Astyanax mexicanus: one gene and its partners. The protein of the gene in region 1 interacts with the protein of each later gene in a biochemical or structural test. Links are inferred from orthologs where the notes say so. Each region holds a gene or a part of one and is shown in the gene's direction. Other genes may lie near its edges.

The links.
Region 2: the proteins of uba1 (region 1) and ube2j1 form a complex in vitro, tested with the Homo sapiens proteins (2 studies listed by BioGRID, with this or other methods). The link is inferred for Astyanax mexicanus from reciprocal best matches to the Homo sapiens genes UBA1 and UBE2J1.
Region 3: of the proteins of uba1 (region 1) and ube2z, one has a biochemical effect on the other in vitro, tested with the Homo sapiens proteins (3 studies listed by BioGRID). The link is inferred for Astyanax mexicanus from reciprocal best matches to the Homo sapiens genes UBA1 and UBE2Z.

What each region holds. Positions count from the first base shown.
Region 1 is NC_064420.1:35,310,774-35,314,527, forward strand, and holds the start of uba1 (ubiquitin-like modifier-activating enzyme 1), read left to right. Parts: upstream 1-1,028; 5' UTR 1,029-1,270; intron 1,271-3,754. UniProt on the Homo sapiens protein: Catalyzes the first step in ubiquitin conjugation to mark cellular proteins for degradation through the ubiquitin-proteasome system.
Region 2 is NC_064408.1:49,531,442-49,535,195, forward strand, and holds the start of ube2j1 (ubiquitin-conjugating enzyme E2 J1), read left to right. Parts: upstream 1-949; 5' UTR 950-1,274; coding exon 1,275-1,305; intron 1,306-3,754. UniProt on the Homo sapiens protein: Catalyzes the covalent attachment of ubiquitin to other proteins. Functions in the selective degradation of misfolded membrane proteins from the endoplasmic reticulum (ERAD) and is essential for cells to recover from ER stress.
Region 3 is NC_064426.1:33,233,233-33,236,986, reverse strand, and holds the start of ube2z (ubiquitin-conjugating enzyme E2 Z), read left to right. Parts: upstream 1-1,525; 5' UTR 1,526-2,057; coding exon 2,058-2,503; intron 2,504-3,754. UniProt on the Homo sapiens protein: Catalyzes the covalent attachment of ubiquitin to other proteins. Specific substrate for UBA6, not charged with ubiquitin by UBE1. May be involved in apoptosis regulation.

The sequences.
Region 1 (3,754 bases):
CCATTTTCCCTGAGATGAGAAGAGAGATGTGAAAAAATAAAAAAATAAAAAATGGAAAACAATTTTTTTCTGCACTACACTAGATGTACAAATAATGGGTTTTTACATACAATATTCTAGTTTTGCATTTAAGCTCAAATAGTCAAAAAATGTTTACTAATGAATGTTAAAGGTCAGTGTAATGTTTTGTTTTCTGAGTGTTTAAGGCTAAATGCAAAAATAGAAAATTGAATGTAAAAACTCATTATTTGTTTTTTTTTTTTAAAGTAGTGCAGTGTACAAAAAATGTATCCATTTTTCCAATTTTTTTTCGTCTCTGCCCCTCACAATCGGAATTTCAGAAAAGAAAAAATCTGTTTTTTTTTTTCATTTTTGCATCTTGCAAGTTAGATTATACCATCAGATTTGTGTTACAAGGTACAAAAATAGACAAATCAGAAAATCGAGATACTCTTATATTTTTAAAAAAATTCTGTTAGCGAAAGGCTGAAATGAAAAACTAGAAGAAAAAAAATGTATGAAAATCCATTTTTTTCTTGACTTTACAGAATAGGAAAAAAGTTATATAATCAATTTTCTATTTTCGAATTTAGCTTGATACAGTCAGAAAACTAAACTGCTATAGGTTACACTGACCGTTAACGCTTTTAACACCATTACCTCTAGACAACAGACTAAACTCAGAAATAGTGAAATAGTGCATCATTCGTATCAGTACTGCGTTTCCCGCCATGCTCAGCGCCAAATGCAAACTACGGGCGAGCTTATTTCAGGACACGCGGGGGTGTTTCCAGTAGTTTCCAGTGCGTGCAGAAATATTTGAGACCTTTCCCGTGCTGTATTAAAGATGAATCATGTGCAGTGCTGTGTTAATGTTGATTGACTGAAGCTGTTTGAGTAAATAAGGTCAGAGTGTTGTGAATTAAGGGGTGAGATGTGGGCTCGTGCAGCGTGTGTTCACCTCGTGCAGTCTGCAGTTCCTGACTCAAACTCTGCACATGTTGCTGCTCCGCCGCTCGTGAACAACTGAAGAATAGAAGTGAGCACTTCTCGCGCTCAGAGCTGGTAACGGTAGCGGTAACGGTGCGGTTGGTGGTCAGTGGTCAGGAGTCAGTCCAGCTTCTTCTCAGCTTGGAAAGTCGAGGAGCTCGAGCCACTTCGATACAGTGTGATATTAACGGTTAGACTAGTGGGTTTTACCGTTTTTTTGTTGCCTGAGAAGCGTTTCTGTGTTCAGTACGGTGGAAAGGCCCCGGTAATATCGGATGTGGTGAGTTCTGCATACTTATGTGCCTGGCTAATGCTAACCAGCTAGGTTAGCTAGCAAGCTAAATAGCAAACGCGTACACAATAATAGATTTGGGCATCTTGCTTAGCAAGCTAGCTAGGTTAGCTAAGCTAGCTAGATTAGCTAGAAATTTAACTAGGTTAACTAGCTAACCACATCGGTAGCTAACTAACTTAACTAGTAGCTAGCTAGTTAGGCTAAGAATGTGCCTCAAAGACTTGTCTGTATAAGCTAGCTAGCAAAATTAAAATTGTAGTAACAGTTAAGTTAGTTAGCTAGCTAACCTTATTTGCATGGTTTTAAACGTAACCACATGATGGTGGAAAATTCTAGCTTGATATGAGATGACTTGTGATATAACGTTATATTTGTAACGTAAATAAATTAGAATTTAGATGCATTTATATTATAATTTAGCTAACCATAAGTGGTTTAAACAGTCAAAGTTGTCAGTCCTTTTTGTCTTATCCCTTGTGGTGATTAGCTAGTTATCTAACCTACATAGTTAACTAGTTAGCTTAGCTAGCTGGCTAGCTAAATAGCTGTTGTAAACAAATAAATACATTTTTGAAATTGAAAGACTGGCTCAGCAAGACATGCTTTTTTGTGAGGAATGCTTCAATACTGAATCTACAAATAGCTATTTGCAAGCTAGCTAGGCTAGCTAACCTAACAAGAAACTACAAAGACATGGAAAGACATGCTTTGCTTTCCTTGCCTTCCCCTTGTTGCGCTCTAGCATCGTTTGGCAGTTATTGGCCAACCTAGGTTAGCTCTCTTGGCTACAATTTCTCTACCAGTCCACAATGATTATTAACATAGCTAGCTGGTTAGCTAAAGCTAGCTATCAGTGCTCTTTTGTGGTCTGTGGGATCTACAGTAGTACAGGGTGATACTAATCATAAGCATGTAGGTTAAAGAAATTGCATAAACTTAGGAGTCAGAATGGGAGTCAGCAGCAGTTGCACGGTTGACTGTATTGATATAGATAAGCAATCAGCCATGCTGCACATTATTACTATCATTGGCGCCACTGGTAGCTAACCAGTGCTGGTGGTCAGATATATTTTGAAGATAGCAGTCTAGCTTCCATAGCTAGTTAGCCAGATAGCTAAATAACTCGCCGAATTACATATAGTAACCTAGTTCTAAAGCCTGCTAGCTCTAAAGCCTGCTAGGTTTGCTAGCTAGCTCACCGCTGTTTATTTTGTCGTCCTTAAAAGTGGCCGCGCTGGCACTTTAACAACTAATAATCTACGCTGAGCGGATCAATATTCGCCCATTGAAGCGCAGATGAACGGGGTACCTGTGCAGAGCAGTGGAGTGTGATGTGTGAAAGAGTTGCACATATCGTTTACTCGGGGGGGGAGAAAGCCGCTTACAGCCAGAATTGAAGCCCCTGTCTTGGCCTCAATTCCCCACACAAACAAGAATAAACGGCCCTCTTGGGCCTTTGTCACAAGGTATCAACCCCTCCTTCCAACGTTTATTCGTTTTATATGTATTTTTTTGTATTTGTTTCATGAAGTGCGAACCCAACAATGCTTTGTTGCATCCTTGCATCCTGTCATCATGCATTCTTGCATTCTTGCATTCTTGCAAGTCTCTGTGAAACAGATAAACATGAACCCATCATCTCCATTCTTAAGGCCAGAATTGGTTTAGTGGGGTAAAAAGGCCCCCCCAGAAGTGAGCTGTGGAGCAGTGGATCTGTATTCTTTGGAATGATGGTGCTCAATCAGTACTTTTGAGATGAAATGGGGTTTTGATATTACTATCTGTAAATGCAATCAGATCCAGAGAACAGTGTTTTCAAAATCTAGAAGAAAGCCACTCCTGGTCAGTAGAGACATTTTCTCCAAAAAAGCAGTATAAATACCTTTTTAATATAATTAAATAAGCAATGAATTACCAACATTTTGTCCATATAGTGTAGTATTTGGCAAATATTCATTGTCCAGAGCTCCTGGATTCTGCATCATTTTATGTATTATTGAAATCTATTCATTACATTTGAGTTAGATTAAAATAAGCTTGGTCAGTGTTATTCAAGGGGAACAAAATTGTTTAAGTAGTAAGGTAGACGTTTACAACAATGGAAAAGCTTACATCAGCATGGGTCATATTAGGCCAATTCAGTTTCCTATAATGCCATTCTTTTATATAGCACAAGCTGGGTTCAGGTAGCTGTGAGTGCTGGGTTTAGGCTTGCTGGAAACTACTTCAGACTGTTGGCTAAGTGATTGTCGGTACATAATTCTGAAAGGACTCTTTGGGACATCAAATAATTTGCTTACAAATGGAATTACTTGAGAGAATTCTGAGATAATAGACTGATTTCATGTAGTTAATAATCTTGGCTCTGTCTCCTATTAGTGTCTTTGTGTCTCTTGTAGGTTTCTTGTCTTTACAACCCCTGTCATTCTTCAATAGGAATGTTAGTGGAGAGTGTTCTGTGGTTCTATA
Region 2 (3,754 bases), on another chromosome or scaffold:
ACTTATACTTATTTCTAATATTTTGTTGGACCGCCTTTAGCTTTGATTACAGCACACATTCCTTGTGGCATTGTTTCAGTAAGCTTCTAAGCTTCTACCAAGATCTTGATGATGGTAGAGTCTGAAGCACTGCACAAAGTCTTTTCCAGCACATCCCAAAAATTCTCAATGGGGTTAAGGTCTGGACTCTGTGGTGAACAATCCATGTGTGAAAATTATGTACTCATGTTTCCTGATCCTCACAATTCCAGCCCCTTCAATCCTGGCATTTTCATCTTGGAATATCCCTGTGTCATCAGGGAAGAAAAAATCCATTGATGGAATAACCTGGTCTATATTCAGTATATTCAGGTAGTCAGCTGACCTCATTCTTTCAGCACAGACCTGACCAACTGCAGCATCAACACCACATAATTTACTTCCTATAATCCAGATGAAGACTTTTTTTTGAGAGGGCAGTGTATTATATAGGATAAGATAAGATAAAGGCAAGGCAAGATAAAGTAATCTTTTATTAATGCCAGAGCCAGGCAATTTACAATGTTACAGTAGCACAGAGGACAGAATAGGATTGAGTGTCAGGAAATGTACAAAGAAGTGGTTTATACAGGGGTTTGGTATTTTCCCAATAAATGAATTAATAAATATAATATATTTGTGTCGTTTGTTTGCTTTGGTTCTGTTTATTTACCTTTTTCCTCTGAGGTATATATGCAGAAAAAGACTATAATATAACTCAGAAAGGTTCAGAAACTATGAAGCACCACTGTATATGAGTACCACAGGAAGTGAATATATTACATTATGATATTATATATTAAATTGGTTTATACAGCACTGTAGAACGTTTATAGTTAGTTTTTAGCTATGGTTGAAGCCAGCTGTGGATTATTTATGTGAGAAGAGTCTTTTCTGTAGGGAATAAACCTCGGAACGCGGTTTCACATAAAGTTTTGTGGTTCAATCAGGCTGAGTTTGTTTCGTTTTTCAGGGACTTTTTGGTGCTCTGTGTGGTTTCAGTCTGCCCACTGAAAACACACGAGCAGAAACACTTCGCCACGTCACTGGCTCTGGTTCGGGCGCTGACAGCTGCCGGAGTGAACGGGTTTACGGAGCTCACAGGCTAAAACAGCCCCACAACAAACCCGGATCCACACCGGCTGCGTTGCTTAGCAGCAAGTTTTAGCCGGCTAACGCTGGACCTGTGAATAACAACAACAAGCAGAAGAAGAAAAAGAAGGAATAGCAGGAAACACTCTGACATCTGGGGAAAGATGGAGAACAAATACAACCTCAAGAGCCCAGGTAACTAACATCCACAGATAGTTAGCTATTCAAGTGCTGAAAGGAGTGTGAAAGGAGGCCAGCTGTGTGTTTTTAGCCGGCTTAGCATAGAAAGCTAGCTAAGCTACCTATAGCTACTGCTGCATTTGTTTAAGGTAGCTAACCGCTAGCTAACCCAAGCAAACTTTTCACATTCTCGGTTGTCAGCGCATTGGGATGTAAAAATGAACTGTTAACCTTTTTTTAAATAGATTTGTATTAGCTTTAACCGTTAACGATAAAGTTAAGATGGCTATACGGGTTAAACTGTTGGGTTAGCTAGCTAGTTAGCTTGCTAACCCAACAGCTATGCTGGCCGCTGTGACAGCTGTCAACGTCTCAAGAGGAGATAAACAATTAACGTTAGCTATTAACTTCAGCTGTTAAAGGTAGTGACAAACGTGAATTTTGATTTATAGACTTGTAACTTGTAAAATGGAGATTTTTCAACAAAGCTGTTGGCTGCTTTGTTCCCTGTGTGTTTGCTATATTAACCTTAGCTAGCTAACTAGCTTAGCTTACTAACTAACCAACCTAGCTAGCGTGTAACTTATTTGTTGTTGTTAGCAAATGTAAGCTAACTAGTTAACGTTTTGCTAACTTAGCAAACAAACATTGTCCATACTTTTCTAATAAAGTAGCTAAATAAATAAGTCAAGTAGTGATACAGGCCAAAATGTCCTACCTAGCTTTATTTGTCAGATATTGTTTAGATTTTCATTGTCTTTGTCACATTTAGTCCCTCCATGCAGTTCCATATATTAGCATTTTGGAAGTTACACAAGTTTAATGAATGGGAATGTATAAAGCTTAACGTTAGCTATAGCTTCTGTGAAACCTTAGGAATCCCTTATGGCCTGTTTCTAAGACCTGGATTAAGCCACGTGTAGAGCTTGGAGACAGAGCAGTGTAGACCAAGCGACAAGCCTTCTGTGTGCTGCATGTGCACAAATTGAGCTAGTCCAATACTTTGCATGGCTTTATTTGCATATCACTTTATTGTAAGCTCTTATCTAAGTGACACATGCAAATTCTCCTTCATTGACCCTCTAAATACAATTAAACATTTTTTGTTTAAAAATAACGTTCCAGAGATTGCACGAGTGTTACAGTTGGTCAACACATGTCAGTTGCACATTTGTAAATCTTATTATTGCAAGAAAGTAGTCCATTTTCTTGTGTAATCCTTCAATAAGAACTGATTTTTAAGGATTGAATTAGCTCTGTAAGCTGTGGAACCTTTTGAAACCATGATGTATTATATTTTCTGTGCTCAAGGCTAGTAAGATGCAGTTTGTCAGCACTTTGCTGCAGGGATAGATAGTCTATATTCTGCCTGATGTTGGAATATTGTCTCTTAATTAAAATGCATCTTCAAATTATCCCAATGCTTTTCAATGGACCTCCATCACAGATATAATGCAGGACATTGGTCATGGTGACCTTTAAGTCTCATTTCAGCTGCTATGTTATGTTATGTTATGCAGCTAAAGTTGTTGAATATCCTATATATGACTAGATGTTTTTGGACATTATAGTGTACAGACTTGATTTTGCATTAGATTTATAAGAAACATTCAGGGCCCAGTTAACCTGTTGGATTGATGCTTCATTCAGCTGTCATGAGACCATTGTTCCGAAGAATGCAGGACATTGTTACATTGACATTGACGGTCATGGATGACCTGTTCCTGCTCCGGAGGGCTACAGTGTCTTGGCACGCCTACGTATTTTTATGTAACCTCTGTCTCACAGCTTCTCTGGACGGCCCCTTAACTGCCCCTGGCCTACGATGTCTGAAGGGCACCATGTTATGTAAGATGATTTTATGTGTTGCTCTGTAATCCCTCCCACTCTCACACCTCCCCTGAGGTCAGTGAGCGTCCAAGCACCCTGCCCTCTGCTGGGCCCAGGAGCACATCTGTGGGCGGAGGCTTTTCCTGTCACTTTTGCTTCCTGTCAGTTGTTGTAGAAGAGAGGAAAGAGAGAAAAAGAGAGGCTGGAGGTTGCAAAAATAAGCAAGGACTTTGTTGTCAGACTGGATCATAGTCTTTGCAGGGACAACATCGCGAAGAAGGAGGGGTTGGGGTGGGTAGAGGCGCCGACTGAGAGTTCACACGCCTCCTTCTGTAACCTGCGGCGACTGCACTTGTCTCTTCCTGTCGGCCGGGACGGTGCAGAAATGTCATCTCCTGGCATGGGGCGAACGATGGCTCACACGTTCGCCGCTTAGCTTTCGCACACTTTAATGCCTCGTTTATGAACGATTAGACACGAAGGGGACTAAGCACAACCTAGACGGGATGATGGCTGGACTGCACATGTGACTGGGCTCTATGCCTGGCCTTTCTAGGGGGTGCTTCATTGTTACTGGAGGCCTGAACTGCAGAAAACCCTGTTATCCATTTGTAAAAAAGTGTGAAAAAGTGTT
Region 3 (3,754 bases), on another chromosome or scaffold:
GACCCCCACTGCATTTGTTCAAGCCCAAAACAGACTATATTCCTATCACTAAACAAGAATAAAAGTACTGAAAAACAGGAAATAAGGTAATTAAACTACAAACAAAAGTACATTTTAGTAATTTATTAAATAAATGTAATGCTGTTCACAGTTATTTATGTGAATGTTGATTAAATAATAATATAGTATGCCTGCTTTACATTTCATTGCCTAATTGTAACATCTACTCTTCCCAGTACCTGCTTATAAACAGATAAGATTAACATTGAGTTAAATTGTGGTTACCAGTATGTCATGTGGCAAATTAATTCCCCATCCCTGCTCTAGAAGGTATGTATATAAGGTTGGATCCTGTAAACTATTGGATGAGCAGCTATAAGAGAATGCCATTGGCCATTGGGCAACTAACTCATCCTATCAATGTTTGGCAAAAAAAAAAGACAAAGTGCCCTATTGACTGCCCTTCTTGTGAGGAAAAAGTTGTCTGCCAGACGACCCCTTCTTTCTATAAATGATTATGATGATTTGCTCTATAGATCAAGACATTTGGTTAATTTGATAATGTGTCTACTGGGGTGCTCCTCTGCCCCAGTAGAAAGGGGGGCTGACATGTAAATTAAAATTTCTCCAGTTTTACACCAGATATTTGCTAATCCAACCATCTGAATATCCAATGGCATCGCTAGTTAGCCACTGTTCTCTGTTTAAACCAAAGTGAGAGAGATAGGCTTCGGATGCCACTGGTCGGTATGTGTATCAGATAATGTTACCACAGCTAATGTGGAAGGAATGTTTAATACAAATATGTAATAATGTGCCCCTAAAGTTATTTCTATCTTTTTATCTGCTGAAAAAACATTAAAAATTAAAGTAATACACCTCCCCTGTACATAATAGTTTTGTGTCCTTTTTATTTTGATCTAACCCGCTACCCCCTCCCATTAAATCACTTACAATTTATTTACAGTCCACAGTTGTTTTTAAAGGGGGTCGGTGAGGCTGGATTCATTCAGCATCCTTAAATCTCTGATTCAAGAACATCCTCAGAACATTAAAATAATGCAAACAAGTTCATATTCATAAAGTTTTAAGAAATCAATATTTGGTAGAATAACCCTGTTTTTAATCACAGTTTTCATGCATCTTGGCATGTTCTTCTCCACCATTCTTACACACTGCTTTTGGGTAACTTTATGCCTTTACTCCTGGTGCACAAATTCAAGCAGTTCAGCTTGCTTTGATGGCTTGTGATCATCAATCCTCTTGATTATATTACAGAGGTTTTCGATTTGGTAAAATCAAAGAAACTCATCATTTTTAAGTGGTCTCTTATTTTTGTCCAGAGCTGTATGTACTGCTTTAAAGACCATGGGTCTATTTTTTCATCTTGCTGAGGAACTTGTTTTCTCCCTAGATCAGAAATAGAAAGATGACTACAGAGTGTTTTCATGAGCACTGCTTGAGTGTTTACTGAAGTGAAGGGGAATCTACAGTAGCCTGCACATTGTTCCAGTGTGACACGCACTTTCCAGTGTTGGAGGACTCGCTGGACATTAAAACTTCACTTTTCGGTTTCGTTTTTAGGAGTTTACCGGCAGATGGCGTTATGATTTTCCTCCCTTACATGAGAAGGAAGTAGCTGAACGAAATAACACGGTAATGAAAATTTGAGACTAACTAAAGCGGAGGTGAGAACGATAGTAGAGTGTAAGTTTTCTGTGTGTATGTGGTTTAACTTTGACTTTATTTATACAGCGTTCCGTGAAATCAGCTGCTTGGCCGGTTAGCGTCAAATCGTTTATTAGAGTGGAAATCGCCTACAGGGTATGTTATGTTTTAGGGTGGGAAAGAAGCTGGGGACGATGGGGCTCTCTCTCTCCGCCCCGCTGCGCTGTAACGTATAATAAATACCTATATAAGCTATTAAAGTAATAACCTAGCCCGAAGAACTGCGAGGAGAAGCTGGTCAAAGTGACAACTCTAGCTTTATCTAGGTTAAATTGCTGTCAGGGTGTTTGGGGCCATTATAGCTAACCAGCTAATAGTGAGCCTCAACCATGGCGGATAGCGTTGGAGAGGGGTCCAACGGCGCTGTTGGAGCGAGTCAGGGAGCTGGAGCCCAGTTGTCAGCGAGTTTGGGTCACTCTTTGCCGGGGCACTCGACCAGCGGAGCTAACCCGGCCTCCCCGCCTCCTGCCGCGGCTGCAGAGACTGGCCTAGCCGCGGTGCCTCCACCTGCTATAGCACACAACATCACCTCGGTCTTGGAGAGCGGACCCGGCGTCGCCGTGCTCAGCCACGCCGTGAGCTCCAGCATCTCGGCCCCTGCGGCCGTGCCTCCCTCGCTCCCACCCAGCATCGGCCTGGGGGTCACCGGGGCTCCGCCGAGCTTAGCCGGAGCCGGCCTTCTGTCCCAGATTCACGCCACGTCCTGGGACCCCACTCTAAGCACAGACTGGGACAACGAGAAGGCTTCGCAGCAGTGCATTCTCCGGATAAAAAGGTAAGTTAACTAGCTAGCTAACTAGGTTAACTACTAACATATCAACAGCATGATAAGCTGGCTAGCTTGCTTACTAGCTAATTATTCAATAATAATAATCGTTTTAAAATTGATAGCCATTTAACTTAATCACTGTATTCTTTTTGACTTGACTAAATAATAACTAAAGCTTATTCTCTTTAATAGTATTTATGTATAACAAAACAAAAAAGTTTAAAAGACAAAACTTATGGTCAAGAACATTTTTAAAGAACTGTATTAAATTAACTAACGCTATATTAATCATACCTGCTATGTTTTTTGTTCTTTACTTTGTAACGTTATCAGTTATTAATGTCTATGTATTTTATTTATTTGAGTTTAATGTAACTTATCTAGATAATCTAATAGGTTTCCCTAAGATAATTTGTTAACAAATTAATTTAGTTAACCTTAATCTTGTCGCCTGTCTGAGGTAACGTAGATTAAACTTTTTCTCACTGGCTACTTTTGCTAGCTTAATAGCTAAGCTAACTAGCCAGCTAGCTAAATAGCTTGCTAGCGAGCTAACGCTAACTTAGCTAACAAGCTAGGTTAGCTACCTAGTTCAGTAGGAAGTTGCGTAGCTTTGACTAGGTGAACTAGCTAACGTAGCTACCTGGCCTTAGCCAAACATATGTTCACAGTTTGCTATCTTAGTAGCAACATTAGCTAACCTAACTAGCTAGCTAGCTGTAAAATGTTATACTGCTTTCATATTTAGCTAGTGCTGATTTAGGCTTTATTAGGCTATTATGGTGCACAATTCTGGTAAAATTTCATAACCCTTAACAAAAGTGGGCCAAATCACGTAAACTGGCAAACCCACAATTATTCACCAATACTTTTTACCAGTGTTTGACTAAGTATACAAACCATGTACACAATGGTTGAGTTACAATGAGATATAAAATAAGCAAATTGAGCAGCATGTTCATGATTTTTTTTATTTACTGTAATAAAGAAGGCACATGACGGTAATATTTTAGGGTTAAAATCCTGATGTAACATAAATGATACAGCAACAATTTTATTTAATATTTCTATAAATCGTGTCAAAACATACAACGGAATCCAAAACAAAATATTTGATCTACCATTAAAAAGTACTGCTATTTGCTTGCCTCTGAAATTAGTTTTAATTATGTCACCATGCAGCAGTTGGTGGGAATAAATAATATAAATGTTTATATTATTATTATTATTATTATTTTTATTATTATTATTATTATT